Linked DNA regions of Anolis sagrei. The protein of the gene in region 4 interacts with the protein of the main gene of each other region in a pairwise test. Links are inferred from orthologs where the notes say so. Each region holds a gene or a part of one and is shown on either strand. Other genes may lie near its edges.

The links.
Region 1: the proteins of KIF2A (region 4) and MRPL53 interact in binary tests that used the Homo sapiens proteins (3 or more experiments, as listed by UniProt). The two-hybrid records come from large-scale screens. The link is inferred for Anolis sagrei from reciprocal best matches to the Homo sapiens genes KIF2A and MRPL53.
Region 2: the proteins of KIF2A (region 4) and LARP1B interact in binary tests that used the Homo sapiens proteins (3 or more experiments, as listed by UniProt). The two-hybrid records come from large-scale screens. The link is inferred for Anolis sagrei from reciprocal best matches to the Homo sapiens genes KIF2A and LARP1B.
Region 3: the proteins of KIF2A (region 4) and FAM13C interact in binary tests that used the Homo sapiens proteins (3 or more experiments, as listed by UniProt). The two-hybrid records come from large-scale screens. The link is inferred for Anolis sagrei from reciprocal best matches to the Homo sapiens genes KIF2A and FAM13C.

Annotation. Positions count from the first base shown.
Region 1 is NC_090024.1:39,152,144-39,160,076, reverse strand, and holds the start of MRPL53 (large ribosomal subunit protein mL53), read left to right. Parts: upstream 1-4,838; 5' UTR 4,839-4,885; coding exon 4,886-5,007; intron 5,008-7,933.
Region 2 is NC_090025.1:39,203,414-39,211,038, reverse strand, and holds the start of LARP1B (la-related protein 1B), read right to left. Parts: upstream 3,065-7,625; 5' UTR 2,650-3,064; coding exon 2,319-2,649; intron 1-2,318.
Region 3 is NC_090023.1:164,360,846-164,368,463, reverse strand, and holds the start of FAM13C (protein FAM13C), read left to right. Parts: upstream 1-4,467; 5' UTR 4,468-4,760; coding exon 4,761-4,825; intron 4,826-7,618.
Region 4 is NC_090022.1:269,547,687-269,554,887, forward strand, and holds the start of KIF2A (kinesin-like protein KIF2A), read right to left. Parts: upstream 3,148-7,201; 5' UTR 2,984-3,147; coding exon 2,920-2,983; intron 1-2,919. UniProt on the Homo sapiens protein: Plus end-directed microtubule-dependent motor required for normal brain development. May regulate microtubule dynamics during axonal growth. Required for normal progression through mitosis. Required for normal congress of chromosomes at the metaphase plate.

The DNA.
Region 1 (7,933 bases), on a different chromosome or scaffold from region 4:
GAAATGCGTTCGGATAGATAGGCTGGGCTGGAACCGTTTAGGGCTTTATAGGCTAAAGCCAGCACTTTGAACTGAGCCTGGTAGCAAACTGGCAGCCAGTGGAGCTGATGCAGCAGAGGAGTTGTATGCTCCCTGAGCCCTGCTCCTGTTAGCAACCTGGCTGCCGCACACTGGACCATTTGAAGCTTCCGGGCCGTCTTCAAAGGCAACCCCATGTAGAGCACGTTGCAGTAATCTATGCAGGATGTAACCAGAGCGTGTATTCTCCAGAGCTTCTGATAATTTAAGTCCAAGTTTGGACCACCAAATGTTTTAGATGATGATGATGATGATGATGATGATGATGATGATGTCCATTAGCCACTAGCATCGACCCAGCTGTTAAGGCAGGCATGGGCAAACTTCAGCCCTCCAAATGTTTTGGACTTCAATTCCCACAATTCCTAACCGCAGGTAGGCTGTTAGGAATTGTGGTTGTTGTAGTCCAAAACACCTGGAGGGCTGAAGTTTGCCTATGCCTGTGTTAAGGACAGGTTGGAGTTGTGGCTCCAAAGGAGCCCATCCTGTCCTCAGAAAAAGCATAACTATTAGTTCTTTAACAAGGGGTGGAGAACGTTGGCTCTGCAGGTGTTTTTTACACAACTCCCATTGGTTTTGACCAGTTTGGTAAATTCCAAAGGGTAGTATGAGTCGTACTTCCAAAAATCTGGTATACTGGCTTTGCACAGAGTTACTGAATTATCTCTCTCTGTGCATTGTTTAGTTCAGACAGGGAAGATGGATAATGTAGTCCTACAACATTGAAAGGACCAAAGGTTTCCCATCTCTGGCGAGACCTGCCCTGTCTAATGGCTGTTGTGACTATTGATCTAAGTGGCCAGGTGCAAAAAAGAAGACAAGGGCACTGTGCTGTCGCATGCTGGGCCTGTGCATAAGACTGTAGACAGGACATACATTCTGTGTGCCCAACGGGACGCCGGGGCTGCCTCAGATTAAAGGTCTTTGGATTTCCTTAAATCACAGTCTCTAGAATGCTTAAAGGTTCCACAAAGTTCTTTATTAATGAAAACAAACAGGGACTTTAAAGCTTTCTTAACAGTCTATTGGCTCTCTCTCAGTCTTGTCCACAGGGAACAGGCACTATCTTCATAAACTGTATTTAGCTAATAGGGAAATCCTTAACTTCTAATCTGGGCAGTCTGTCTTTGCCTCTGTTGGCGTGGAGCCCCTGCACCCAGTACCAACTGTGTCTGGTTTCCACGAGTGACCCTTACCAAGCAGAGCTTTGTAGACTTCCAGAGGAAAAAGGAGTTCAGGTTTCGGTGATGGCTGGCTGAAGTCCTTCAGCAAAGGAGCTGTAAGGCTGTATGATCCTCGGCCAAGCTGTGGGTTGTATAACCCCGGCCAAGCTATAGAAGATGAAGCTTTCTACAGGAACTCTTGGTGTTACGTCCTGCATGGAAAGCTTCTCTGTGTGGACTGAACCCAAACTGGCTCCTATTCCCTCCAAAACCCAAAGGGGGCGGGACCAGGGAACCTAACTATAATTGACAGGTGGCTTGCCCTATGATTGCAGCCAAAAGAAGCCACCTATCTGCAGAGTCCCTGAAACTTAGGACTACAACAAACATTCAATGCAAAGCAAACAAAATTGGAGCTCCTGGTACAGTTGTACCTGCACAGGCACTGTGCACAGAAGAGGATATTTCACCAGTTATAGCTTGTCATACAAACAATGTTGAAATTCCCACTTCTGTAAAACTATGAAGGCAGCAGGAACCTGGCTTCTTTTACATCCTATTTTACAAAGACAAAAGAAAATTTAGATTAATACTTCCCAAATGAGTTGTTATTGTACCATTTTAACTATTCGAATTATTTCCCCTCTATATGATTACATATTTATTGAAGGTATGTTGCACGTTGCTACAAGTTGGCCCTGGACTTGAGCAAAATTGGTTAGTTTTCTGTGTTGTTAATTGTGCGGAAAGGGATTTTGTGCTGGTACAACTGCACCAGGAGCTCCAATTTTGTTTGCTTTGCATTTAATGTTTGTTGCAGTCCTAAGTTTCAGGGACTCTGCAGATAGGTGGCTTCTTTTGGCTGCAATTATAGGGCAAGCCACCTGTCAATTATAGTTAGGTCCCCTGGTCCCACCCCCTTTGGGTTTTTGGAGGGAATAGGAGCCTTTTTGAGTCCAGTCCACACAGAGAAGCTCTCCATGCAGGACATAATACCAAGAGCTCCTGTAGAAAGCTTCGTTTTCTATGGCTTGGTCAGGGAGATATACAGCCTACAGCTTGGCCGGGGAGAAAAGGCCCACAACTTGGCTGAGGATTTTACAGCCTTACAGCTCCTTTGCTGAAGGACTTCAGCCAGCCATCACTGAAACCTGAACTCCTTCTTTTCCCCTGGAAGTCTACAAAGCTCTGCTTGGTAAGGGTCGCTCGCAGAAGCCAGATGCAGTTGGTACCGGGTGCAGGGGCTCCATGCCAACAGAGGCAAGTACAGACTGCCCAGATTAGAAGTTAAGGATTTCCCCATTAGTTAATTACAGTTAACAACCTCTGTACATGGCATTCATCGACCTTGCAAAGGCATTCGACACAGTGAATCGCAGCGCTCTCTGGACCATCCTCCAAAAAATCGGGTGCCCAAACAAATTTGTGAACATCCTGCGGCTCCTCCATGATGACATGATGGCAACAGTTTTGGACAGCAGTGGCTCCCAAAGTGACCCATTTAAGGTGGAATCGGGTGTCAAACAGGGATGTGTTATTGCCCCAACTTTATTCTCCATCTTCATCGCTATGATACTTCACCTTGTTGATGGGAAGCTTCCCACTGAAGTGGAAATAATCTATCGGACAGATGGCAAGCTATTCAACCTCAGCAGACTGAAAGCCAAAACCAAGGTTACAACAACATCTGTTATAGAACTCCAGTATGCTGATGACAACGTCGTCTGTGCGCATTCAGAAGAAGATCTACAAGCCACTCTAAACACCTTCGCAGAAGCATACGAGAAGCTCGGCTTGTCATTGAACATTGAAAAAACCAAGGTGCTTTTCCAGCAGGCACCAGCCAATCCCTCTCCAATGCCAGTGATACAGCTTAATGGTGTAACATTAGAAAATGTTGTTCATTTCCGTTACCTTGGCAGCTACCTCTCCACCAAAGTCAACATCGACACCGAAATACAACACCGCCTGAACTCTGCAAGCGCAGCATTTTTCCGAATGAAGCAGAGAGTGTTTGAGGACCGGGACATCCGTAGGGATACCAAGGTGCTTGTTTATAAAGCTATTGTCCTCCCAACCCTGCTCTATGCCTGTGAGACGTGGACTGTCTACAGACGTCACATGCAACTCCTGGAACGATTCCATCAGTGCTGCCTCCGGAAAATCCTGCAAATCTCTTGGGAAGACAAGCGGACAAACGTCAGCATGCTGGAAGAAGCAAAGACCACCAGCACTGAAGCGATGGTCCTCCGCCACCAACTCCGCTGGACCGGCCATGTTGTCCGGATGCCCGACCACCGTCTCCCAAAGCAGCTGCTCTACTCCGAACTCAAGAACGGAAAACGGAATGTTGGAGGACAAGAAAAGAGATTTAAAGATGGGCTCAAAGCCAACCTTAAAAACTCTGGCATAGACTGTGAGAACTGGGAAGTCCTGGCCCTTGACCACTCCAGCTGGAGGTCAGCTGTGACCAGCAGTGCTGCAGAATTTGAGGAGGCATGAGTGGAGGGTGAAAAAGAGAAACGTGCCAAGAGGAAGGCGCGTCAAGCCAACCCCGGCCGAGACCGCCTTCTGCCTGGAAACCAATGCCCTTACTGCGGAAGAAGATGCAGAGCAAGAATAGGGACCCACAAGAATATTGGAAGACAATCATCCTCGGAAAGCGAGGGATCGCCTAAGTAAGTAAGTAAGTAATTACAGTTAAGAAGATAGTGCCTGTTCCCAGTGAACAAGATTGCAAGAGCCAATAGACTGTTAAGAAAGCTTGAAAGTACCTGTTCATTTTCATTAATAAAGAACATTGTTGAACCTTTAAGCAATCTAAAGACTCTGGGGGAATCCAAGGGCCTTTAATCTGAGGCAGCCCCGGCGTCCCGTTGGGCACACAGAATTTATGTCCTGTCTACAGTTTTATGCACAGGCCCAGCGTGCGACAGCACAGATTTCGTCATTCTCTTTGGCCCGGCCATCATCTTGTGCCACATCAGGAGCTTCGTAAAGGGATCGCGCAATACGACAGAATCATAATCGGCTATTTGTTCTCAGTCTCAAAAAAGTTTTACGAACTTTGACGGTGTCGCCATGTTCGCTTGTTACAAAATAAATGTTATGGCATCTGAAGGAGCAACAGATTTACTGCGGCATACGGTTGCTATCATTGGCCTCGAGGGCCTTTCACACATCTGATGAAGGTAGGCTCTGGTCCAAGGGAACATATGCCGCCCTCAATGTGGCCCAAGACTCTGCTGTCAAGGTTTGGCAAAATAATTTTTTTTAAAGTGTGTCTTCTGCCATCTTGTGGCAGAACTGTTTTAATTGAGTCTCAAATATTTTCCAGCCATGGGCAAACTTGGGCCCTCCAGGTGTTTTGGACTTCAACTCCCACAATTCCTAACAGCCGTAGGCTGTTAGGAATTGTGGGAGTTGAAGTCCAAAACACCTGGAGGGCCCAAGTTTGCCTATGCCTGTTCTAGACTGTATTTGCAGCCATAGAAGGGAAAGGGTTAACTGTGAGCTTTGACTACATTTCCCAGAAACCCACGCGAGGGTTGAATCTGGACAGTGGCGCAAAGGCTACTGGGAATGGTAGTTTTCCAGCCGAAACCACCACTTAACTTTCTTTTTTCAGTCAGGGGAGGCCGAAAATGGCGTTCGTGCTGCCGAGGAAGGTGTTCGTGCTGCCGAAGAAGGCGGGGGTGTCGCTGAAGCAGGTGAAGAGCATCCTCGTCCGCTTCTGCCCCTTCGAGGCCAATGTGGAGAGCACCAGGTGAGGAGGAGGAGGAGGAGGAGATGGGCCCTCTGCAGAGGCCTAAAGGGGAAAGAAGGCCTTCGCTCTCCATTGAAGCCCGCGTCGCGTAGTTCCTTGATTCTTCATTGATGGCAGGATAGACGCCTAATTAATCCTGAAATGTTCTCAGGCCTCATACAGCTGGTTAGATCATAGAATAATAGAGTTGGAAGAGACCACATGGACCATCTAGTCCAACCCAACGCACAATCAAAGCACTCCTGACAGATGGCCAGCCATCTGTTTATAGAATTCTAGACTTGGAAGGGAGTATAGAATTCTAGACTTGGGAGCCCTCAAGGTCAACCAGTCCAGCCCCCTTCTGCTATACAGGAAGGCACAATCAAAGCACCACCAACAGCCAGCCTCCAAGGAAGGAGCTTCCACCACACTCTGAGGCAGAGAGTTCCACTGTTGAATTATTATTATTATTGGGTTGTTGTAGGTTTTTCCGGGCTATATGGCCATGTTCTGGAGGCATTCTCTCTTGACGTTTTGCCTGCATCTATGGCAAGCATCCTCAGAGGTAGTGAGGTCTGTTGGAAGTAGGAAAAATGGGTTTATATATCTGTGGAATGACCAGGGTGAGACAAAGGACTTTTGTCTGTTGGGGCTAGCTGTGAATGTTTCAGCTGATCACCTTGATTAGCATTCAATGGCTTGGAAGGGCCTGGGTGGAATCTCTTGTTGAGAGTGATTTTATGTGCCTGTTTGTTTCCCCTCTGCTGTTTTGCTATTGTAATTTTAGAGTTTTTTAATACTGGTAGCAAGATTTTGTTCATTTTCATGGTTTCTTCCTTTCTGTTGAAATTGTCCACATGCTTGTGGATTTCAATGGCTTCTCTGTGTAGTCTGACATGGTGGTTGTTGGTGTGGTCCAGCATTTCTGTGTTCTCAAATAATATGCTGTGTCCAGGCTGGTTCATCAGGTGCTCTGCTATGGCTGACTTCTCTGGTTGGAGTAGTCTGCAATGCCTTTCATGTTCCTTGATGCGTGTCTGGGCACTACGTTTGGTAGTCCCTATGTAGACTTGTCCACAGCTGCATGGTCCACAGTAGTAATATTATTTATTTATTTATTTATTTATTTAAAAGTTTTATATACCTGTCTTCTCCACCTCCGGAGAAGACTCAGAGGGACTCAGGTCAGTTCACAACATATATTCAAACAACAGCAATACAAAAACAATACAGTAAATCATCATTAAACATTAAAACCTAAAATACAGTAAAAATACCTCATCACATTGCACAAGGCAAGTCGTCAAATAGAGTTACGATTCATCACCATCCTTCCCTATGCACAGGGTTATTGACTCACTCGTCAAATGCCATATTCCAAAGCCAGGTTTTTAGTAGCTTTCTAAACGACAGGAGGGAAGGGGCAGATCTAATCTCTAGTGGAAGGGAGTTCCAGAGCCGGGGAGCCACCACCAAGAAGGCCCTGTCCCTCGTCCCCACCAGACGCGATTGTGAAGGTGGTGGGACCGAGAGCAGGGCCGCTCCTGAGATCTTAATAACCTTTTTTTTTTTTTTTGAAGTAATTTTTATTGAACATTTTATAAATCCACACAAGGAAAGAGGGGGAACAATAACAAGGAGAAAGGTAAGTAGGAAAAAAGGAAAAAAGAAACAACAAAAACATAACAACACACCAAATAAACAACATATCTACCTAAACTAATCTAAAATGACTTCCACTCCAACCTCGGGATCTTCTCACACTTCTTCTTCATCTTACTTGTCTATTCTTTTCCTCTATGACTTTTCTAAATTTCTTTTCATAGTCATAAAAAGAAGACCAATCTGTCCTCTTTAACGATTTTCCGGTATTTCTTCTCATTAAAAAAGTTAATTCATCCATGTCTCTTATTTCTTTAACTTTCTCCAACCATTCTTCAATGGTCGGTATTTGATCATTCTTCCAAAATTTGGCAAAAATAATCCTTGCCGCTGTGGTGAAATAAGTAAACAGTTTATCTTCATTCTCCTCCAGTTTGAGTTCAGAGTCTGTGAATCCTAATAAGTAATATTCTGGTTTCTTTTTGAACCTCTTATTCAACATCTTTTGTATTTCCACATGAATAGAGGCCCAAAACTTAGTTGTATCTTTACATGACCACCACATGTGGTAAAAGGTGCCTGTTTGTTCCCCACATTTCCAACATTTATCTGAAACATTTTGATACATGTGACTAAGCTTATTCGGTGTCAAATACCATCTATAAAACATTTTATACCAATTTTCTTTCAAGTCCATGGCATAAGTATATTTCAATTTTTTGTTCCATATTTGCTCCCATTCCCTAAATTGAATGGGCCTTCTTAAGTTTTCCGCCCACTTAATCATACATGTTTTCACCTGTTCAGTTTCCGTTAACCACTGGATCAATTTATTATACAATATTGTAACTATTTTCTTTTGTGTTTTCAATATTTTATCCCATGTGTTTTCTTCCCAGTCAAAACCAATTTTTTGATCTTGTTTAAAGTATTCTTTAATTTGTAGGTAATGTAACCAGGTTATATTACCATAAGAGTTCTTAAGTTGTTCAAAAGATTTAATCTCCGTTTTCCCTTTTAGCAGGATGTCCTTATATCTTGGCCAGACCCTCCATCCTAAAAGTCTTCTTTGATGGGCCTCCATTGCTGAGACCCATAATGGAGTAGATTTGTAGAAGAGGGTTTTGTATCTCATCCATGTCCTCAGTAGGGAGGCACGCACAAAGTGGTTACCAAAATTCTTTTCCTGAGAGATCTTAATAACCTTGATGGCTCATAGGGGAGAATCCGTTCGGACAGGTAAATTGGGCCGGAGTCGTTTAGGGCTTTATAGGTCAGCTCTTACAGTCAGGAAGTTCTTCCTAATGTTCAGTTGGAATCTCTTTTCCTGTAATTTGAACCC
Region 2 (7,625 bases), on a different chromosome or scaffold from region 4:
TTGTGCATGATTTGTCTTGATATTTTGGGTTCTATGGCAGTGTGAACTTAGATAGTAAAGGTAAAGGTTTCCCTTGACATTGTCTAGTCGTGTGCGACTCTAGGAGGTGGTGCTCATCTCCACTTCTAAGCCAAAGAACTGGCATTGTCCATAGACACCTTCAAGGTCATGTGGCCAGCATGACTGCACAGAGCGTCATTACCTTTCCACAGAAGTGGTATCTATTGATCTACCCACTTTTGCATGTTTTCGTACTGCTAGGTTGACAGAAGCTGAGCCTAACAGCGGGAGCTCACCACACTCCCTGGATTCGAACTGCCAACATTTTGGTCAGCGAGTTCAGAAGCTCAGTGGTTTAACCTGCTGTGCCACCAAGGGGAATCAGATATTTCCGTTCAAATCAGATACGATATCTATTGAAGTACTCACATTTGCATGTTTTCATACTGCTAGGCTGATAGAAACTGAGCCTAACAGCGGGAGCTTACCCCGTTCCCTGGATTCGAACTGCCAACATTTCGGTCAGCAAGCTCAGATATTCCAGTTCAAATCAGATATTGTGGATTATTTACCTTGATATTCTGCGTTCTATGGCAGTGTAGACTCAAATAATCCAGTAAGCTGCTTCGAGTCCCCTTTGGGAAGATGGTGGCGGGGTATAAATAAAGATTATTATTATAACCCAGTCCAAATCGGGTATTGTGGAGGAGCTCCCTTGTTATTCTGGGTTCTTGGGCTGTGTGAACTCAGATAACCCAGTTCAAATCAGGTATTGTGGATGATCTCCCTTGTTATTCTAGGGTCTTGGGCAGTGATGTTATTTTGTTTATATTTTATGTTGCTGTAATGTATCGCTGGGCTTGGCCTCATGTAAGCCGCTCCGAGTCCCCTTTGGGGAGATGGTGGCGGGGTATAAATAAAGATTAGTATTATAACCAAGTTCAAATCAGGTATTGTGGAGGATCTCCCTTGCTATTCTAGGTTCTTGGGCAGTGACGTTATTTTGTTTGCGGTGGCGCAGTGGGTTAAAGCACTGAGCTGCTGAGCTTGTTGATCGAAAGGTCGCAGGTTCGATTCCGGGGAGCGGCGTGAGCTTCCGCTGTCAGCCCTAGCTTCTGCCAACCTAGCAGTTCGAAAACATGCAAATGTGAGTAGATCAATAGGTACCGCTCAGGCGGGAAGGTAACAGCACTCCATGCAGTCATGCCGGCCACATGACCTTGGAGGTGTCTACGGACAACGCCGGCTCTTCGGATTAGAAAAGGAGATGAGCACCACACCCCAGAGTCAGACATGACTGGACTTAATGTCAGGGGACTACCTTTACCTTTAACCTAATGTATTGCTGGGCTTGGCCTCATGTAAGCCGCTCTGAGTCCCCTTTGAGGAGATGGTGGCGGGGTATAAATAAAGATTATTATTATCATTATTATTATTATAATCCAGTTCAAATCAGGTATTGTGGAGGATCTCCCTTGCTATTCTGGGTTCTTGGGCAGTGATGCTATTTTGTTTATATTTTATGTTGCTGTAATGAATCGCTGGGCTTGGCCTCATGTAAGCCACTCCGAGTCCCCTTTGGGGAGATGGTGGCAGGGTATAAATAAAGATTATTATTATTATTATAACCCAGTCCAAATCAGGTATTGAGGAGAATCTCCCTTGCTATTCTGAATTCTATGGCTGTGTGGACTCAAGACATTCCCCTTCAAAGCGGACATGGTGAATGATCTGCTTGGGTATTCCGGGTTCTACGTCTGTGTGGAAAGGCCCCAAGATATCATTCCCCTCTTAAGTGTTTTTTTTTTCTTTTTTTGAACGCCAGCTGTAGCTTCCAGACGCTAACCTCAACCACGACTTAGCCCTGTCTCAGCCGTTTCGCTCTCGTAAAACAACTTCTAAGGCAGGCCCCACCCCTTCTCAGGTTCATCCTCCTAATCTGGCGACGCGCTGCTCTGCTCTACTGAAGGAGGGCGCCAGGAAGTGCCTTGCTTTCCCACGAATTGGGTGTCATTCGGGGTCGCCGCCATTAGGAGAGCAAGTGCTCCAGACATGGGCCTTCCTTGCAGGTGTTTTGGACTTCAACTCCCACCATTCCTAACAGCTTAAGCGGCTGAGGGGGAAAAAGAAGGGGCCTGAGGCTGTTAGGAATGGTGGGAGTTGAAGTCCAAAACACCTGCAAGGAAGGCCCAAGCCTTGAAGTCTAAACCACCTGGAAGGAAGGCCTAAGTTGTCCCATCCCTGCTGTAGAGGAGAAGGAAGGCGGGAAAGAGTGTGGCAACCCACGACGCCCCTCTTCCCCTCTCCTCCGCCCTCACCTGGGTCGTGAGGCTCGCCCTCGCTGCCGGCGGAAGCGCTGGAAGGGGAAGCCGAGCTGGAGGAGGCCGAGGCCGGCTTCCAGCAGCGGCGGGCCCACGGGTTCTCCTTAGGGAGGGGGGCCTCGGTCACGTGACGGCGAGGAGGAGGTGGAAAGGCCGGGCCCTGGTCGTCGTCGCTGCTCTCGTCTTGCTTGGAAGGGCGCTCTTCCGCCGCACAGGCCCCGCCGCCGGTAGTAGTAGTAGTAGAAGTAGAAGAAGATGTCGCCGCCTTCTTGTCTTCCTCCTCCTCCGCTCCTCGAACTGGTGGCTGAGGGGCAGCCGAGGAGGACATGCCCGCCCTTCCTCCTCCTTTTCCTTCTCCTCAGACGCTCCTCATTCGCCTCACTCAGCCAGGGCTTCCAACCGCCAGCAGCCCCGTCTTGCGGGAGGAAGGGGGGGGGAGGAAAACAGCAGCGTTCTGAGAAGAGCCAAGCAAGCGCGCGCTGCCGACACGGAGGGAGGGCGAACCGAAGGATGGAAGAGCCGGCGACGGAAAGTAGCGAATGGGCCTCTGCTGTGTCTCTCGCTCTCAGGAGAAAGCCTCGTCACAGCTGTCGCGTGCGGGAAGGGGCGGGGCTTGTTTTCCCCTCCTTTCCCCCCTCCTCCTCCTCCTCGCGCCCGGGATGGTGGGCGGGGCTTAAAGGGCCCCCTTGCTCTTCTAAGGAGAAAGCCTCGTCACAGCTGTCGCGTGCTGGAAGGGGCGGGGCTTGTTTTCCCCTCCTCTCCCCCCTCCTCCTCCTCGCGCCCGGGATGATGGGCGGGGCTTAAAGCCCAAGAAGGTCTTGCTCTCAGGAGAAGGGGCGGGGCTTGTTTTCCCCTCCTCTCCCCCCTCCTCCTCCTCGCGCCCGGGATGATGGGCGGGGCCAAAGCCCAAGAAGGTCCGCTTGCTCTCAGGAGAAGGGGCGGGGCTTGTTTTCCCCTCTTCCTCCTCGCGGCCAGGATGGTGGGCGGGGCCAAAGCTCAGCATAGCCTCGGCTCTACTCTTGCTCTTCTAAGGACAAAGCCTCGTCACGGCCGTCGCGTGCTGGAAGGGGCGGGGCTTGTTTTCCCCTCCTCCCCTTCACCTTGCGCCCGGGATGATGGGCGGGGCCAAAGCTCAGTATAGCCTCGGCTCTCTCTCTCTTGCTCTTCTAAAGCCTCGTCACAGCTGTCGCGTGCTAGAAGGGGCGGGGCTTATTTTCTGCCCCTCCTCGCGCCCGGGATTGTGGGCGGGGCCAAAGCCCAGAAAGGACAACCCTCCCCCACTGAATAGGGCGGGGCTTCTTCTTCCCAACGCTTCCAATGGGTATACCTTGTGACGTCATAACGTCCTCGGCTTTATTTGTCCACTCTAATCTTCCGGGACTTCAACTCCCAGAAGACCCGGCTTCCGCGGCCAATGCTGAAGGATTCTGGGAGCTGAAGTCCAAAGCCGCTTTGGAAGGGAAACACTCCAATTATAGCCCGGAAAAACCTACAACAACCCACTCCAATTAGAGTCTGGCACCGCTTTTAACTGCCCTGGCTCAACGCTATGGAATCCCATGAGTTGGGAGTTGTGCAAGCCTTCTCCACTGCCTCGCCAGACTACTACATTGTTTATTTGCGTGTAATTATTTGCATTTAATTTATTATGTATATGTAGTTTCACTGTGTGGAGCCCCCGGTGGCGCAGTGGCTTAAACCGCTGAGCTGCTGAACTTGCTGATCGAAAGGTCTCAGGTTCGAATCCGAGGAGCATGGTGAGCTTCTGCTGTTAGCCCCAGCTTCTGCCAACCTAGCAGTTCGAAAACATGCAAATGGGAGTAGATCAATAGATACCGGCACGGTGCTCCATGCAGTCATGCCGGCCACCTTACCTTGGAGGTGACTACTGATAAAGCCGGCTCTTTGGCTTCGCAATGGAGGTTTTCACCAATCCCCAGAGTCAGACACGAATGTCCTTTACTAGTTTCACTGTGTTGTATGGCACTTGAGCCCTGCCACATGGACAATGGAGGACCTTCTCACAACGACACCAGAGGCACTCAGGTCAAAAGACATTTTACAAGTTTTAATCTTTGTACTGGTTTTAAATACATTATAACTGTACCTCAATTCGCTTCTGATGCGATAAATAAATAAAGTATAGCAATGAATGGCTGCCACTGATGTTGTAAACAGCCCCGAGTCCCCAAGGGAGAGATGGGACAGGATTTAAATAGAGTTGACTTGACTTGACTACATGTCCCACGATTCCATAGCCATGGTGGTGCACTGCAGTAGTTGCTCCAGGCAGTCATGCTGGCCACATGAACTTGGAGGTGTCTATGGACAACGCTGTCTCTTTGACTTAGAAATTGAGATGAGCACCAACCCCCAGAGTCGGACACGACTGGCTTAATGTCAGGGGGAAACCTTTAGCTTTACCAACTGGAACAGGCAATCCCCAAAAGGCAATGCCACTCAAGAGGAATGGGAGTGTATTTTGTTGTTGTTGTTCATTCGTTCAGTCGTCTCCGACTCTTCGTGACCTCATGGACCAGCCCACGCCAGAGCTCCCTGTCGGCCGTCACCACCCCCAGCTCCCTCAAGGTCAGTCCAGTCACTTCAAGGATGCCATCCATCCATCTTGCCCTTGGTCGGCCCCTCTTCCTTTTGCCTTCCACTTTCCCCAGCATAATTGTCTTCTCTAGGCTTTCCTGTCTCCTCATGATGTGACCAAAGTACTTCAACTTTGTCTCTAGTATCTTTCCCTCCAGTGAGCAGTCGGGCTTTATTTCCTGGAGGATGGACTGGTTGGATCTTCTCGCAGTCCAAGGCACTCTCAGAACTTTCCTCCAACACCACAGTTCAAAAGCATCGATCTTCCTTCGCTCAGCCTTCCCTAAGGTCCAGCTCTCACATCCGTAGGTTACTACAGGGAATACCATGGCTTTGACTAGGCGGATCTTTGTTGCCAGTCTGATGTCTCTACTCTTTACTATTTTATCGAGATTGGACATTGCTCTTCTCCCAAGAAGTAAGCGTCTTCTGATTTCCTGGCCACAGTCTGCATCTGCAGTAATCTTTGCACCTAGACATACAAAGTCTGTCACGGCCTCCACGGTTTCTCCCTCTATTTTCCAGTTGTCAATCATTCTTGTTGCCATAATCTTGGTTTTTTTTGACGTTTAGCTGCAACCCGGCTTTTGCGCTTTCTTCTTTCACCTTGATTAGAAGGCTCCTCAGCTCCTCCTCGCTTTCGGCCATCAGAGTGGTGTCATCTGCATATCTGAGGTTGTTAGTGTTTCTTCCAGCAATTTTCACCCCAGCTTTGCATTCATCCAGCCCCGCACATCGCATGATGTGTTCTGCATACAAGTTGAATAGGTTGGGTGAGAGGATGCAGCCTTGCCGTACGCCTTTCCCAATCTTGAACCAGTCTGTTGTTCCGTGGTCAGTTCTTACTGTTGCTACTTGGTCCTTGTACAGATTCCTCAGGAGAGAGACAAGGTGGCTTGGGATGCCCATCCCACTAAGAACTTGCCACAATTTATTATGATCCACACAGTCAAAGGCTTTAGAATAGTCAATGAAGCAGAAGTAGATGTTTTTCTGAAACTCCCTGCCTTTCTCCATTATCCAGCGGATATTGGCAATCTGGTCTCTCGTTCCTCTGCCTTTTCTAAACCCAGCTTGAACATCTGGCAACTCTCGCTCCATGTATTGCTGGAGTCTTCCTTGCAGGATCTTGAGCATTACCTTACTGGCATGAGAAATAAGGGCCACTGTGCGGAAGTTTGAGCAGTCTTTCGCATTTCCCTTTTTTGGTATGGGGATATAAGTTGATTTTTTCCAGTCTGATGGCCATTCTTGTGTTTTCCATATTTGCTGGCAAATGGCATGCATCACCTTGACAGCATCATCTTTTAAGATTTTAAACAGTTCAGCTGGGATTCCGTCGTCTCCTGCTGCCTTGTTGTTAGCAATGCTTCTTAAGGCCCATTCAACCTCACTCCTCAGGATGTCTGGTTCTAATTCATTCACCACACCGTCAAAACTATCCTCAATATTATTATCCTTCCTATACAGATCTTCTGTATAGTCTCGCCACCTTCTCTTGATCTCTTCAGCTTCTGTTAGGTCCCTGCCATCTTTGTTTCTTATCATACCAATTTTTGCCTGAAATTTACCTCCAATGTTTCTAATTTTCTGGAAGAGGTCTCTTGTCCTTCCTATTCTGTTGTCTTCTTCCACTTCCATGCATTGCTTATTTAAAAATAGTTCCTTATCTCTTCTGGCTAACCTCTGGAATTGCGCATTTAACTGGGCATATCTCCCCTTATCCCTGTTTTCTTTTGCTTTCCTCCTTTCTTGGGCTACTTCCAGTGTCTCAGCAGACAACCATTTTGCCTTCTTGGTTTTCTTTTTCTTTGGGACGTACTTTGTTGCCGCCTCCTGAACAATGTCTCGGACTTCTGTCCATAGTTCTTCTGGGACTCTGTTTACTAAATCTAGTCCTTCAAATCTGTTCTTCACTTCCACTGTATATTCGCTAGGAATGTTAGTGAGATCATATCTAACTGGTCTGTGTATTTTCCCTGATCTCTTTAGTTTTATTCTAAATTGGGCAATAAGAAGTTCGTGATCTGAGCTACAGTCAGCCCCAGGTCTTGTTTTCACCGACTGGATGGATGTCCGCCACCTTTGGCTGCAAAGGATGTAGTCAATCTGATTTCGGTGTTGACCGTCTGGTGAGGTCCATGTGTAAAGCCGTCTTTTAGGTTGTTGGAAGAGAGTATTCGTTATACACAGCGAGTTTTCCTGGCAAAATTCTATCAGCCTGCGTCCTGCTTCATTTTGTTCTCCCAGACCATGCTTGCCTGTGATCCCTGTTGTCATTTGACTTCCCACCTTGGCATTCCAGTCTCCTGTAATGAAAATAATGTCTCTTTTTGGTGTATTATCCAGTAGTTCCTGCAGATCCTCATAGAACTGATCTACTTCTGCTTCTTCAGCAGCTGTGGTTGGGGCATATATTTGGATCACTGTAATGTTGAAAGGCTTTCCTTGCACTCGAATTGAGATCATTCTGTCATTTTTTGGGTTGTATCCAAGCACCGCTTTAGCGAATTTCTTATTAATTATGAAGGCTACTCCATTTCTTCGATGTTCCTCTTGTCCGCAGTAGTAGATCTGGTGGTCATCTGATGTGAAGTGGCCCATTCCAGTCCATTTCAGTTCGCTGACCCCCAGAATGTCTATCTTTAGTCTTGACATCTCCCCAATAACAACATCCAATTTGCCCTGGCTCATAGATCTTACATT
Region 3 (7,618 bases), on a different chromosome or scaffold from region 4:
CAAACAACTGGTCTTAATGAAGCTTCCACAAGCCCCCTTTCTCATTGCTTCTCTTACCCTTGATCATTTTAGTCGCCCTCCTCTGGTAACTGGTCCTGAATCATTGTTCCCTCTTTAAGCCAGTTCTTGTGGGCCACAAAGGACAATAATTTCCACAATTGGCAGAAGTTTTATTTCTGTTTTCTTCTGCTTTCTTCTTATTACCTTTATCATCAAGATGTTTTCCACTGTGAATTAGCAAGAAGTTTTCAGCCAAGCACAAGTTGTTCTGATGGTACTCCGTTTTTGGTGGCTATTGAAGACTTCGAATGCATTTTTCCATTGCACAAATGGTTTAGCAACCAATGCACCAAGCTTCTGATGACCACCTTTACCCCCAACTTATCCTTCAAACACTACACTGTACTTACAGAGTGCACCTTGTACATGAAATGAGTAGGTTCACCAGGGAAATCTGCTGAACCATTTGGGTTGAAATCTTAGAAGGAGGCCTTCACCAGCAACCGATATTAAGCTATGACTAGGCAACTAGTGATTATTGCCAAGACTCAACACTAAAGCTATCTTGGTTTGGCAAGGTTTACACAGCCAAAGATTCAGAGCTTCAAGATTTTTTAGCATAATGTTTTAAGGACAACCTCAGTGGCCTGAGGCCCGGGGATTTTTAATGGTGATAAATGTCATTATTTATTATGCTTATTTTATATGTTTATGTAATATGTTTATGCAATGTGCTTTATCCTTTACTTGTTTGGGTTGAGGGGATGATGTGCCTTGAGAAACCAGACTTGGCCACGGTGCTTGAATGAAGGACCTTCCTTCTCTCCCTCCCTTCCCTTCTTTCCTCCCTTTCTTTCCTTTTCTTCTTTCCTTCTCCTTCCTTTCCTTCTTTCCCTCCTTCCCTTCCTTCCTGTCCCTCCTTCCTTCTTCCTTTCCTTCTTTTCCTCCCTCCCTCTCTTTCTTCTTTCCCTTTCTTCATTTCCTTCCCCTTCATTTCCTTCCCTCCTTTCTTCATTCCCCTCCTTTCTTTCCCTCCTTCCTTCCTTCGTCCTTCCTTCTCCTCCCTCCCTGTCCCTCCTTCTTTCTTTTCCTTCCTTCCCTTCTTTCCCTCCCTCCCTTCCTTTTTCCTTCCTTCATGTCCCTCCTTCCTTCTTCCTTTCCTTCTTTCTATGTAAGATATAAATACAATATTAAATGGAAGGGACAGTCAAGAAGTAATGAGAGAAGGATAGGATAACTTATGCTAGAAGATGGAAGCAGGAAGATACGCCAGACGAAAATGAGAGACTCACAAAAATCTTGGAAGTAAGAAATATGGACTGGCTTACATTTTTGATAACAAGAAGTAAAGGAATAAAAATGAAGGAAACAAACTGGGAAAAAGTGACGGGTTATTTTAAGCAAAGGAACAAAAAAATCCTGATATAATTGAAGAAGAGTTGGAGGAAAGGAAGAAGAGGAGAAAGAAGACAAGGAGAGAAGAAAGGGAAGGAGAAGAGGAGGAGGTTTGGATGAACGACAAAGAGGACCCTATGAAAACCTCGGGAAGTCGAAAGCAAGAAACCTTTTTTTTTTCTTGTTATTATTGTCTTATATGGGGCTTTTGGGCTACACTTCTCCTCTCTTCCCTCCCCTGCTATCTCTCTATTTCTCCTGTCTCTCTTGTCTATTATCTTTTGGTCACTATATCATTTCATATTTCGGGGAACTGATATATACACATACCCTATATCTCTTTTACTAGTAGCCTTCGCTACAAAGTTTTTATTTTTTTTAACTGTATTTGAAAACTGAATAAAGATTATAAATAAATAAATAAAAAAGAAGTAACGAGAGAAGGAGGGAAAGAGGAAAGGAAGGAAGGAGAGAAGGAGGGAGGGAAAGAAGGAAAGAAAAAAATATAGAGAAGCAAGGAAGGAGAGAAGGAAATAAAAAGTGAAAGGAAAAAGAGAGGGAAGAAAGGAGAGAAGGAACGAAAGATAATCATCATCATCATCATCATCATCATTTGTTTGTACCCCGCTAACATCTTCCGAAGGACTTGGTGCAGCTTACAAGAGGCCGAGGCCCAAACATCACAAAAACAGCAGCATCACAAATACAACAAAAAAAACCTCACAAAACAGTAATAAACATTAAAACAATAGCAAATAACAATAGACAATAATACCACGACACATTTAAAAACCAAAGCCGGGCCAATGTAATGATTAAATTTTTTTAAAATGCTGGGCATGGCAGGTGAAATAGATAGGTTTTTGGAGATAGGTGCAATGTGCAGACAATTGTAAATCTCTAGTAAAGTGCATTTAGGGATATGATGCTTGGAGTTTCCTATTCTGGGAAGGCACACTGGAACAACCATGTCTTCAAGCTCCTCCTAAAGACTGCCAATGTTGGGGCTTGTCTGATGTCCTTGGGGAGAGAGTTGCAGAGGTGGGGGGCCACCACAGAGAAGGCCCTATCCCTGGTCCCCACCAATTGCGCCTGTGATGCAGGTGGGATCGTGAGTAGGGCCTCTCCAGATGATCTGAGAGATCGTGTGGGTTCATATATGGAGATGCGGTCACGAAGGTAGGCGGGTCCCAAACTGTTTAGGGCTTTGTAGGTAAGCACCTGCACCTTGAATTGGGACTGGAAAATGAATGGCAGCCAATGGTGCTTCTTAAACAGGAGGGTTGACCCAGGCCCGTAGCCAGGATTTCGTTTCGGGGGGGGGGCTGATTTTTTTTCAGGGGGGGTTTCGGGGGGGCTGCGTTTCGGGGGGGGGCTGAGTCTGAGTGAAAGAGGGTCTAGCCTAGCAAACCTTTTGTATCATTACCCCAATACCCCCATGCATATGGGATATATTAAGTATGGTGATCAGATCATGATATGAATAAACATAACAGTTTAAATAATGCACCAGTAAGGCCTTTTCGCGAACCACCATGAAAATTTGGGGGGGGGGCTGAAGCCCCCCGAGCCCCCCCCCCTGGCTACATGCCTGGGTTGACCTCTCTCTGTAAGGAGCACCAGTTAACCTGGCCACCCCCCGTTGAACCAGTTGGAATTTCTGGGCCGTTTTCAAGGGCAGCCCCACGTAGCGCGCATTACAGTAGTCCAATCTAGAGGTGACTAAGGCATGGACCACCCTGGCCAGATCCACCTTCCCGAGATAGGGAAGGAACAGGGGCGGCTCGTCCATTACGCGAAGTAAGCGGTCGCAGAACACTTTTTTTTTGCCAGGGGCGCAGAGGCGCCTCTGTAAATGCCCCTCGACCTCCTCTTGAGGAGCGCCCCCTCAGCTCACAACAGCCCTAGCAGTCCGGGGGGAGCCTTGGTTTTGTTGCCTCGCTCCCGGGCGATCCTCTTCCCAAAGGGGCCGGGCCCTTGAGCCTCGCCTCGCCCCTCTCGTTCCTGCTCCACCCGGCCACCGGGTGCGCGAGCAGAGCCGGCGCTCAATCGTTCTCCGCGTTCGATCCCTTCCCCATGACCGGCTCCCTTTCCCAATCCCCCGTCGCTCCACCCGCCTCCTCTCCTCTCCCCGATCCGCGGGTGGGCCAAAGGGCGGAGCCGCCGTTCCTGGCCCGCTTCGGGTCCAGAGGCGTGTCTGAAGACCCCAGCGTGCGCACCAAAAATCGCCTCTTCTCCTGACTATCTCTTCAGCCATTGGGACCAAGAGAGAGAGAGAGAGAGCCCCTCCGGCTGGAGGTATCTCCCACCTCCGCTCCCTCCTTTGTTTTTGCGCCTACCTTCAGGAAAGGTGGGCATCTCCACCTCTCTCTCTCTCTCTCTCTCTCTCTCTTGATCCCAATGGCTGAGGAGAAAGTCAGGAGAAGAGGTGACTTTTGGTGCACACACCGGGGTCTTCAGGCACACCTCCGGACCCAAAGCGCGCCAGGCAAGGGAGCAAGTGCGGCAAGTGTAGTTACTGGGATGTATAGTTCACCTACAATCAAAGAGCATTCTGAACTCCACCAATGATGGAATTGAACCAAATATGGCACACCGAACTCCCACGACAAACAGAAAATATATATCAATGATTGGTTGGGGGGGCAGGGCGGGCGCCAAAATACTGTTTGCTTACCGTTGAAAATTACCTAGGGCCGCCTCTGGGAAGGAAGGAAGTATGTAACCAAAGAGCAAAGAAAAGGAGGAAAGAAACAGGTAGAGATGGAAGAAAGAAGAGAGATAGGGAAAGAAAACGAGGAAAGGAAGGAAAGAGGGAAGGGAGGAGAGAAAGAGGGAGGGAAGGTTGGCCACAGCAACGCGTGGCGGGTTCAGCTAGTAGATTCTATAACAAAGACACCTTTATGGGTTTCTTGCCAAAGAAGAGAATTAGGTTGGATAATCTGGCCCCAATATAAAGAATTAACACAAAAGGAAGAAGAAGAAGCAATAAATACATCGGGCGACAGGCTTGCTCCCACCCAGCCCTTGGTGTGTCTGGCCTGGAGTGCTCTTCTCCCTCCCTGCTTTGGAGTTGGGCTCGTGCAGGAAGAGCATCAGCATCCAAGGCCGGAGCCAAAGCGGGAGCAATGCCTGATGGGCGTTGTGGTTCGGAGGCCAGCCTTGCCTCCCCGGGGGTTCCTTGGGCGGCGAGCATGTGCAGAAGAGGCCAGGGTTCCGAGGAGCCGCGCATCCCTGCCTTGCCTGCCGCCTCCCCTCCTCCTCCTCCTCCCTTTGCCATCCCCGCTCCCCTTGCCATGCCGTGAAGAGCGAGCACCCAGCGAGACCTCGCCCGCCCGCCCGCCAGCCCTGCTGATCTGCCTCCGATGTTTTCTTGCTTCTGCTTCAGCCTCCAGAACCATTCCTTCAACAGCCCGGCTGCTTTGCCCGAGTAAGTGCCTGCTTTGCTCGCTCCAAGCGCAACCAGGGGCTTCTGCTGGGGGCTGGGCAGGGAAAGAAAGGCAGACAAGCCTCTCTCCCTTCCTTCCTTCCTTCCTTCCTTCCTTCCTTCCTTCCTTCCTTCCTTCCCAATAGCCAACCATTATACCTTCCCTGAATGATCAACCTGCCTGAATTGGCACACAATGCCTGCAACCTCTCTCTCTCTGTCTTTCTATCTCTCTGAAATGCCTCCTTTACATTCACTTGCATGGCTTTGCACCTTGAGATGACATTTGAGGGCATCTTCTTGGAACCAATGAGGGGGAAAACACACACACCAGCCTTGAAATGCCATTAAGGAGGCATGGCAGTGAGTAAGGAGGGTGCCAGGCTTTTTTAAGAGCCTGCCAGCCATCATGCCAGCAGGAGGGAAGAACTCACAATACCCATCGGAAAAAAAACCCCACAAACATATCCAGTGTACAAGGCTTCAGTATGTGCATGATCTTTTCGATAGCCACTGGGTTTGGTTACATGAGTGGACAGAGTGTGTTCGTGGCAGGGAAGGGAGCGAGACATGCTTGAATATCTATATCTATACATCTATATAGGTAATTTTCAACAGTAAGCAAACAGTATTTTTTGGCGCCCCCCCCCCCAACCAATCATTGATATATATCAGTGTTTCTCAACCGGGGGGTCGGGACCTCTGAGGGGGTCGTGAGGGGGTGTCAAACGGGTCGCCAAAGACCATCAGAAAACATAGTATTTTCTGTTGGTCATTGGGATTCTGTGTGGGAAGTTTGACCCAATTCTATTGTTGGTCGAGTTCAGAATGCTGTTTGATTGTAGGTGAACTATAAATCCCAATAACTACAATTCCCAAAAATCAAGGCCTATTTTCCCCAGACTCCACCGGTGTTCACATTTGGGCATATTGAGTATTCATGCCAAATTTGGTCCAGATCCATCATTGCATGAATCCACAGCACTCCTCTGGATATAGGTGAACTACAACTCCCAATCTCAAGGTCAGTGGCCACAAAACCCTTCCAGTGTTTTCTAATCGTCATGGGAGTTCTGTGTGCCAAGTTTGGTTCAATTCCATCATTGGTGGAGTTCAGAATGCTCTTTGATTATAGGTGAACTATAAATCCCAGCAACCACAACTCCCAAATTACAAGATCAATCCTCCCCCAACCCCATTAGCATTCAGATTTGGGCATATTTGGTTTTTCTGCTCAATTTAGTCCAGTGAATGAAAATACATCCTGCATATCGGATATTTACATAACGATTTATAAAGTAGTAAAATGACAGGTATCAAATAGCAACAAAAACAATATCATGGTTGGGTGTCACCACAACATATGGAACTGCATTAAGGGGTCACGGCATTAGCAAGGTTGAGAACCACTGATCTATATCTATATATCTATATAGGTAATTTTCAACAGTAAGCAAACAGTATTTTGGCGCACCCCCCCCCCCCAACCAATCACTGATATATATTTTTTCTGTTTGTCGTGGAAGTTCTGTGTGCCATATTTGGTTCAATTCCATCATTGGTGGAGTTCAGAACGCTCTTTGATTGTAGGTGAACTATACATCCTAGTAACTACACTTGCCGCACTTGCTCCATTGCCTGGCCTGCTTTGGGTCCAGAGGCGTGCCTGAAGACCCCGGCGTGTGCACCAAAAGTCACCTCTTCTCCTGACTTTCTCCTCAGCCATTGGGACCAAGAGAGAGAGAGAGAGAGGTGGAGATGCCCACCTTCCCTGAAGGTAGGCGCAAAAACAAAGGAGAGAGCGGAGGTGGGAGATACCTCCAGCCGGAGGGGCTCTCTCTCTCTCTCTCTCTTGGTCCTAATGGCTGAAGAGAAAGTCAGGAGAAGAGGCAACTTTTGGTGCGCACGCTGGGGTCTTCAGACACGCCTCCGGACCCAAAGTGGGCCAGGCGCGGCCGCTCCGCCCCTTGGCACACCCGCGGATTGGGGAGAGGAGAGGAGGCGGGTGGAGCGCCGGGGGATCGGGAAAGGGAGCCGGTCATGGGGAAGGGATCGAACGCGGAGAACGATTGAGCGCCGGCTCTGCTCGCGCACCCGGTGGCCGGGTGGAGCAGGAACGAGAGGGGCTAGGCGAGGCTCAAGGGCCCGGCCCCTTTGGGAAGAGGATCGCCCGGCAGCGAGGCAATAAGCTGAGGCTCCCCCTGGACTGCTAGGGCTGTTGCGAGCTGAGGGGGCGCTCCTCAAGTGGCGGTTGAGGGGCATTTACTGAGGCACCTCTGCGCCCCTGGCAAAAAAAAGTGTTCTGCGACCGCTTACTTCGCGTAATGGATGAGCCGCCCCTGTCTATATCTATATCTATATATATATAAATGCTCTGTGCATAATGAGTACCTTAAAAATAAAAGAACCAATGAACAAAATCACACCAAATTTGGCAACAAAATGTTTCACAACACAAGGAATGACCATCACTTGAAAAATTAGGATTTTGTCATTTGGGAGTTGTAGTTGTTGGGATTTATAGTTCACCTATAATCAAAGAGCATTCTGAAACCCACCAACGATGGAATTGAACCAAAATTGGCACACAGGACACCCCTGACCAACAGAAAACACTAGAAGGGTCAAGCTAGGATGGATCTGGACCAAACTTGGCATGGATACTCAATATTCCCAAATGTGGACACTGGTGGAGTTTGGGGAAAATAGACCTTGACATTTGGGGGTTGTAGTTGTCGGTATTGATAGTTCACCTACAATCAAAGAGCATTGTGAACCACATCAAAGATAGAATTA
Region 4 (7,201 bases):
CTTCATCCCTCCTGAGGGGGCGGGAAGACAAACATCCGGGTGCTAAGGAGAGTGGTGATCTTATTTAGTTGAACACAACACAGCAAGACTTGTGCTAAATAACAAGGGCGGGGGCATACTGAAGCTTACCAAGGATTCTTCCATTCATCTAATAAGTGTAATTAAAAATGCAGGTTGAGCATCCCTTATCTATAATTCCAAAATATCCCAGTATCCAAAGTTGTCCACATGGGTGACTGAGATAGATAATGGTTACTCAACGTATCAGCCATTCATGCAAGCGTAGCTCACTTAGATGGGATTGGAAATATATTTTCTTAATGTACTTGTTCAGGGGAGAGGACTTAAGCAGCCTTCTCTATAAACCATGAAGCCATGCTCTCTCTGGGCACAAAGACAAACAAAAAAAGACACACACAAATCCAAACACACACACACACCAGCTCTCTTATCTCACCATCCCTGTATCCCTTGCCATCCAGGCAAGTATGTGGTTTTTCACATTAAGGTGGGAGTGCGAATACGTGATATATTTTCATAATGCACTTGTTGAAAGGATGAGGGAGAAAGCACATCTGAAAAAGCACATCCCCTTCCTGCTCCTTCCTTCCACAAGCCATGAAGCCAAGTTCTCTCTAGGCACCAAAGCCTTTCTCTGTTTGACACAGAGAGACAGGGACACAAGTCGGCTCTCCAACCTCACCATACCTATAAACAATGAGGCCAAGTTCTCTTTGAGCCCCAAAGTCTTCACATGCATCTTTAAGTAATGGGTAGGATCATAGAATAACAGAGTTGGAAGAGACCACATGGGCTATCTCAGGCATGGGCAAACTTCAGCCCTCCAGGTGTTTTGGACTTCAACTCCCACAATTCCTAACAGCCTGAAAGCTGGCTGGGAATTTTTGGAGTTGATGTCCAAAACACCTGGAGGGCTGAAGATGGCTCGTGCCTGGACTATCTAGTCCAATCCCTTACCATGTAGGAAAAGCACAATCAAAGTACCCATGACAGATGGCCATCTAGCCTCTGATTAAAAGCTCCCAAGGAAGGAGCTTCCACCACACTCTGAAGCAGTGTTCCACTGCTGAAGCTACAATACCCATTGTATTTTCATCATGCACTTGTTGAGGTGAGGGGGAAGGAAGCACACCCCCTTTCCTACTCCTTTCTCTATAAGCCTAGAAGCAGAGTTCCCTCTGGGCACCACAGTGTTTCTCTGCTTGACCCAGGCCTCTTCCACACAGCTGAATAAAATCCCACATTATCTGAGTCCATACTGCCACATATTCTAGTTCAAACTAGACAATGTGGGATTCTCTTCTTTGATATTCTGGGATATAGGTCTGTGTGGAAGGGCCCACAGAATCTTTCCCAGGGACCTTCCACACAGCCATATTACTCAAAATATCTAGGCAGAAAATCCCACATCTACTTTGAACTGGTTTATCTGAGTCCACATTGCCCTATATCCCAGTTCAAAGCAGATAATGTGGATTTTCTTCAGCTGTCTGGAAGGGGCCTGGTTCAAGCAAAGGAACACAGTGGGGCCCAGAGGGAACTCTGCTTCTAGGCTTATAGAGGAAAGGAAAGAGGGTGTGCTTTCTCTCCCCCTCCCCCAATTCAACAAGTGCATGATGAAAATGCATTGCCTATTCCTGTTCCCATATACACCTATATCAATGAACGGGTATTGCTGCTTCAGCAGTGGAACACTCTGCTTCAGGGCCCTTCCACACAGCCCTATATTCCAGAATATCTAGGCAGAAAATCCCAAAATATCTGCTTTGAATTGAGTTATCAGAGTCCACACTGCCATATATCCCAGTTCAAAGCAGACAATGTGGATTTTCTTCAGCTGTGTGGAATGAGCCTGGCTCAAGCAAAGGAACACTGTGGTGCCCAGAGGAAACTCTGCTTTGGGGCTTATAGAAAAAAGGACTGGGTTATCTAAGGGCCCTTCCACACAGCCCTATATCCCAGAATATCTGTTTTGAATTGGGTTATCTGAGTCCACACTGCCATGTATCCCAGTTCAAAGCAGAAAATGTGGATTTTCTTCAGCTGTGTGGAATGAGCCTGACTCAAGCAAAGGAACACTGTGGTGCCCAGAGAAAACTCTGCTTTTAGGCTTATAGAAAAAAGGACTGGGTTATCTAAGGGCCCTTCCAAGCAGCCCTATATCCCAGAATATCAAGGCAGAAAACCCCACAATATCTGTTTTGAACTGGGTTATCTGAGACCACACTCTGATCATGTGGGATTTTCTGCCTTGATATTCTGGGATGTAGGGCTGTGTGGGAGGGTCTTCTGAGTGTGGTGGAAGCTCCTTTCTTGGGGGCTGGATGGCCATCTGTCAGGGGTACTTTGATTGTGCTTTTTCCTGCATGGCAGTGGGTTGGGCTAGATAAACAAATAGAGATCCATTTCAATGTGGATTTCATAGAGCCACAGAGTCCACACCCTGTCATACATTCCTCACTACCAGCATTATCCCATTCCTCTCCTCCCACAACACAATACACGCCTCTCCAGCCCTCAAGGATCCCTGCCTTCTCCTGGCCCCCCGGCCTCTTAAACCCGAGGGTCACGCCCTTCCCCTGTCAGTCCCTCAAACCAGCCCCACACACGAGGAAAGGGGGCTGCTTCTCTCTCCTTCGCCTCTTCCCCTCTTTCTTTGCCTCTCTCCCAGCAGCACTGCAGCAACCTCCCACCCTGCCGTCCATGTCTCCCTCCCAGCATTAGACATTCCCCACCAGGCACAGAAAAGCGCCTCACAGGCCTCACGCCGCCGCCACTACCACCACCCCCCTCACAATGGGCCTTGACGGCGAGCCTTCCTCCATCCCTCCGGCCTCCCCCTCCTCCTCCATCTTCAGCCTCCCCACCCCACCCTTCCCTTCCCTCTCGCCGGCTCACCATCGCTGCGCTTGATCTCCACATAGATCCCTATCTGGATCTTGCCGAAGTTGGCCGTTGCCATCGCGTCATAGAGACAGAGAGAGGGAGAAACGGAAGGGAGGAGGAGGAGGGGGGGGAGCGAGGGCTGCAGCAACGGCAGTTGAGATGAGGGAAGAAGGGAGGAGGAGGAGAAAAAGGCGCCGGCCGGATACAACCGTCGCCGGCAGCGACTGCGGCTGCGCAGACCGTGGAGGCGTCACGGCTGAAGGACCGGCGGAGCGGTGGGAGGGGCCAAACAAAAGGGGCGTGGCCTATTCGGGTTGAGGAGACCGCGTTGCCCCGCCTCCTCCGCAAAGGGCGCCCAGCCACGCCTGGGCCAACTGGGGCCCTCCAGGTGTTTGGGAATCACATGTTTAACGTGGACAACAAGTTAAACATGAGCCAACAATGTGATGTGGCGGCAAAAAAAGCCAATGGGATTTTGGCCTGCATCAATAGGAGCATAGTGTCTAGGTCCAGGGAAGTAATGCTACTCCTCTATTCTGCTTTGGTTAGACCACACCTGGAATATTGTGTCCAGTTCTAGGCACCACAATTCAAGAGAGATATTGACAAGCTGGAATGTGTCCAGAGGAGGGCGACTAAAATGATCAAGGGTCTGGAGAACAAGCCCTATGAGGAGCGGCTTAAGAGGTGATTAGCTGTCCCTGATTGCTTCCTCTCTGTTGTTTTGTTGTTGTAATTTTAGAGTTTTTTTTAATACTGGTAGCCAGATTTTGTTCATTTTCATGGTCTCTTCCTTTCTGTTGAAATTGTCCACATGCTTGTGGATTTCAGTGGCTTCTCTGTGTAGTCTGACATGGTGGTTGTTGGTGTGGTCCAGCATTTTTGTGTTCTCAAATAATATGCTGTGTCCAGGTTGGTTCATCAGGTGCTCTGCTATGGCTGACTTCTCTGGTTGAAGTAGTCAGCAGTGCCTTTCATGTTCCTTGATTTGTGTTTGGGCAATGCTGCGTTTGGTGGTCCCTATGTAGACTTGTCCACAGCTGCATGGTACACGGTAGACTCCTGCAGAGGTGAGAGGATCCCTCTTGTCCTTTGCTGAACGTAGCATTTGTTGGATTTTCTTGGTGGGTTTGTAGATAGTTTGTATGTTGTGTTTCCTCATCAGCTTCCCTATGCGGCCAGTGGTTCCCTTGATGTATGGCAGGAACACTTTTCCTCTGGGTGGATCTTCATCTTTACTCTCGTGGCTTGTTCTTGGTCTTGCAGCTCTTCTGATGTCTGAGGTGGAGTCTCCATTGGCCTGGAGAGCCCAGTTGAGGTGGTTCAGTTCATCTTGGAGGAGGTGGGGTTCGCAGATTCTTTTTGCACGGTCTGCCAAGGCTGTTGTGTTTCCTCATCAGCTTCCCTATGCGGTCAGTGGTTCCCTTGATGTATGGCAAGAACACTTTGATCAGCTGAAACATTACCCTGGTCATTCCACAGATATATAAACACATTTTTCCTACTTCCAACAGACCTCACTACCTCTGAGGATGCTTGCCATAGATGCAGGCGAAACGTCAGGAGAAAAATGGCCTCCAGAACATGGCCATACAGCCCGGAAAAACCTACAACAACCCAGTGATTCCAGCCATGAACGCCTTCGACAATGTAGTGAGGTCTGTTGGAATTAGGACAATGGGTTTATATATCTGGGGTGGGGCAAAGAGCTCTTCTCTGCTGGAGCTAGGTGTGAATGTTTCAACTGACCACCTTCATTAGCATTTGAAGGCCTGGCTGAGCTTCAACCAGAGAAGTCATCCATAGCAGAGCACCTGATGAACCAGCCTGGACACAGCATATTATTTGAGAACACAGAAATGCTGGACCACTCTCACAACCACCATGTCAGACTACACAGAGAAGCCATTGAAATCCACAAGCATGTGGACAATTTCAACAGAAAGGAGGAAACCATGAAAATGAACAAAATCTGGCTACCAGCATTTAAAAAACTCTAAAATTAGAACAGCAAAACAGCAGAGAGGAAACAACCAGGCACATCTTAACACCTCTCAACAAAAGATTCCCCCAGGCTCAGCCAGGCCTTCAAATGCTAATGAAGGTGGTCAGTTGAAACATTCACACCTAGCTCCAGCAGAGAAGAGCTCTTTGCCCCACCCCAGTTATTCCACAGATATATAAACCCATTTTCCTAACTCCAACAGACCTCACTACCTCTGAGGATGCTTGCCATAGATGCAGGCGAAACGTCAGGAGAAAATGCCTCTAGAACATGGCCATATAGCCCGAAAAAACCCACAAGAACCTAGTGATTCCAGCCATGAAAGCCTTCGACAATACATTGTTTTGAATCCTTCTTAGGCGATCCCTCGTTAGCCAACTAGGATAGTCTTCCATCAGTATTCTTGTGGATCCGTAGGTGGCTGTGGAGCGCTATTCTTGACCTGCATCTTCTCTCACAGTGAGGACATTGGTTTCCAGGTGGAAGGCGGTCTCGGTCGGGGGTTTCTCTCTTTCACCCTCCATTCGTGCCTCTTTAAATTCTGCAGCACTGCTGGTCACAGCTGAGCTCCAGCTGGAGCGCTCAAGAGCCAGGGCTTCCCAGTTCTCAGTATCTATGCCAGAGATTTTAAGGCTGGACACAGCATTTTATTTGAGAACACAGAAATGCTGGACGACTCTCACAACCGCCATGTCAGACTACACAGAGAAGCCATTGAAATACACAAGCATGTGGACAATTTCAACAGAAAGGAGGAAACCATGAAAATGAACAAAATCTGGCTACCAGCAGGCCTGTAGCGAGGGGGTGGTTTTAGGGGTTCAACCCCCCCCCCCCCGAAATGTTTCAGATTTTTTTTAAAAAAACCTGGTTTACTCATGAATTTTAACTGGTTAACCAAATCCCCATGCTAAGTCTATGAGATGCAAAAAATTAAGAGTCCCTCCAGAACTGTAAGCACTAATTCAAGCAAATATTGGCAATTTATTCACACTGTCATTACTTGCAGCAATAGCCGATGTAGTGAAGCAACCAAGTTGGGTGTGTGTGTGTTGAATGCTCTCATTAAGGAGGCCAGACTTGGTGGAGGTGGTTGACAGGGGCGGAGCTGCAGGCTATTGAAGGCTGATCTGCCCCCTGCTGTGCTCTTTGCTTCAGCATGAGCAAGGAGGCAGGTTTCAACCCCCCACCCCCACCCCGAAAATTTCAACCCCTCCCAAAAAAGTTTTTCTGGCTATGGCCCTGGCTACCAGTATTAAAAAAAACTCTAAAATTGCAACAGCACAACAACAGAGAGGAAGCAGGCAGGGGCATCTAATTACCTCTCAACAAAAGTTTGTTCCAGGCACAGTCAGCCCATTGTATGCTAATCAAGGTGGTCAGTTGAAACATTCACACCTAGTTCCAGCAGACAAGAGTCCTTTGTCTCACCCTGGTCATTCCACAGATATATAAACCCTTTTTCCTAGTTCCAACAGACCTCACTACCTCAGAGGATGCTTGCCATAGATGCAGGCGAAACGTCAGGAGAGAATGCCTCTAGACCATAGCCATACAGCCCCAAAAAAACCTACAGCAACCCAGTTTTAATGCTGGCGTTGAGCCTATCTTTAAATCTCTTTTCCTGTCCTCCAACATTCCGTTTTCTGTTCTTGAGTTCGGAATAGAGCAACTGCTTTGGGACACAGTGGTCGGGCATCCGGACAATGTGGCCGGTCCAGCGGAGTCGATGGCGGAGGACCATCGCTTCATTGCTGGTGGCCTTTGCTTCTTCCAGCACGCTGATGTTTGTCCACTTCTCTTCCCAAGATGTTTGCAGGATTTTCCGGAGGCAGCGCTGATGGAATCGTTCCAGGAGTTGCATGTGATGTCTGTAGACAGTCCACATTTCCCAGGCATATAGCAGGGTTGGGAGGACAATAGCTTTATAGACAAGTACCTTGGTATCCCTACGGATACCACTCTCTGCTTCATTCGGAAAAATGCTGCACTCGCAGAGCTCAGGCAATGTTGTTTTTCGGTGTCGATGTTGACTTTGGTGGAGAGGTGGCTGCCATGGTAGTGGAAATGATCAACATTTTCTAATGTTACATTAAGCTGTATCTCTGGCATTGGAGTTTGGAATCCAACGCCCACAGCTCATAACAGCCTCAGGCACGTTCCTTTTAAGCAACTGAGGTGGGAAAGGAAGGGGGCTGAGGCTGTTTGGAATAGTGGGAGTTACAGACCAAAACATCTGGAGGGCCCGAGTTGGCCCAGGCCTGCGATATAGGGAAAGGTATAGGGAGG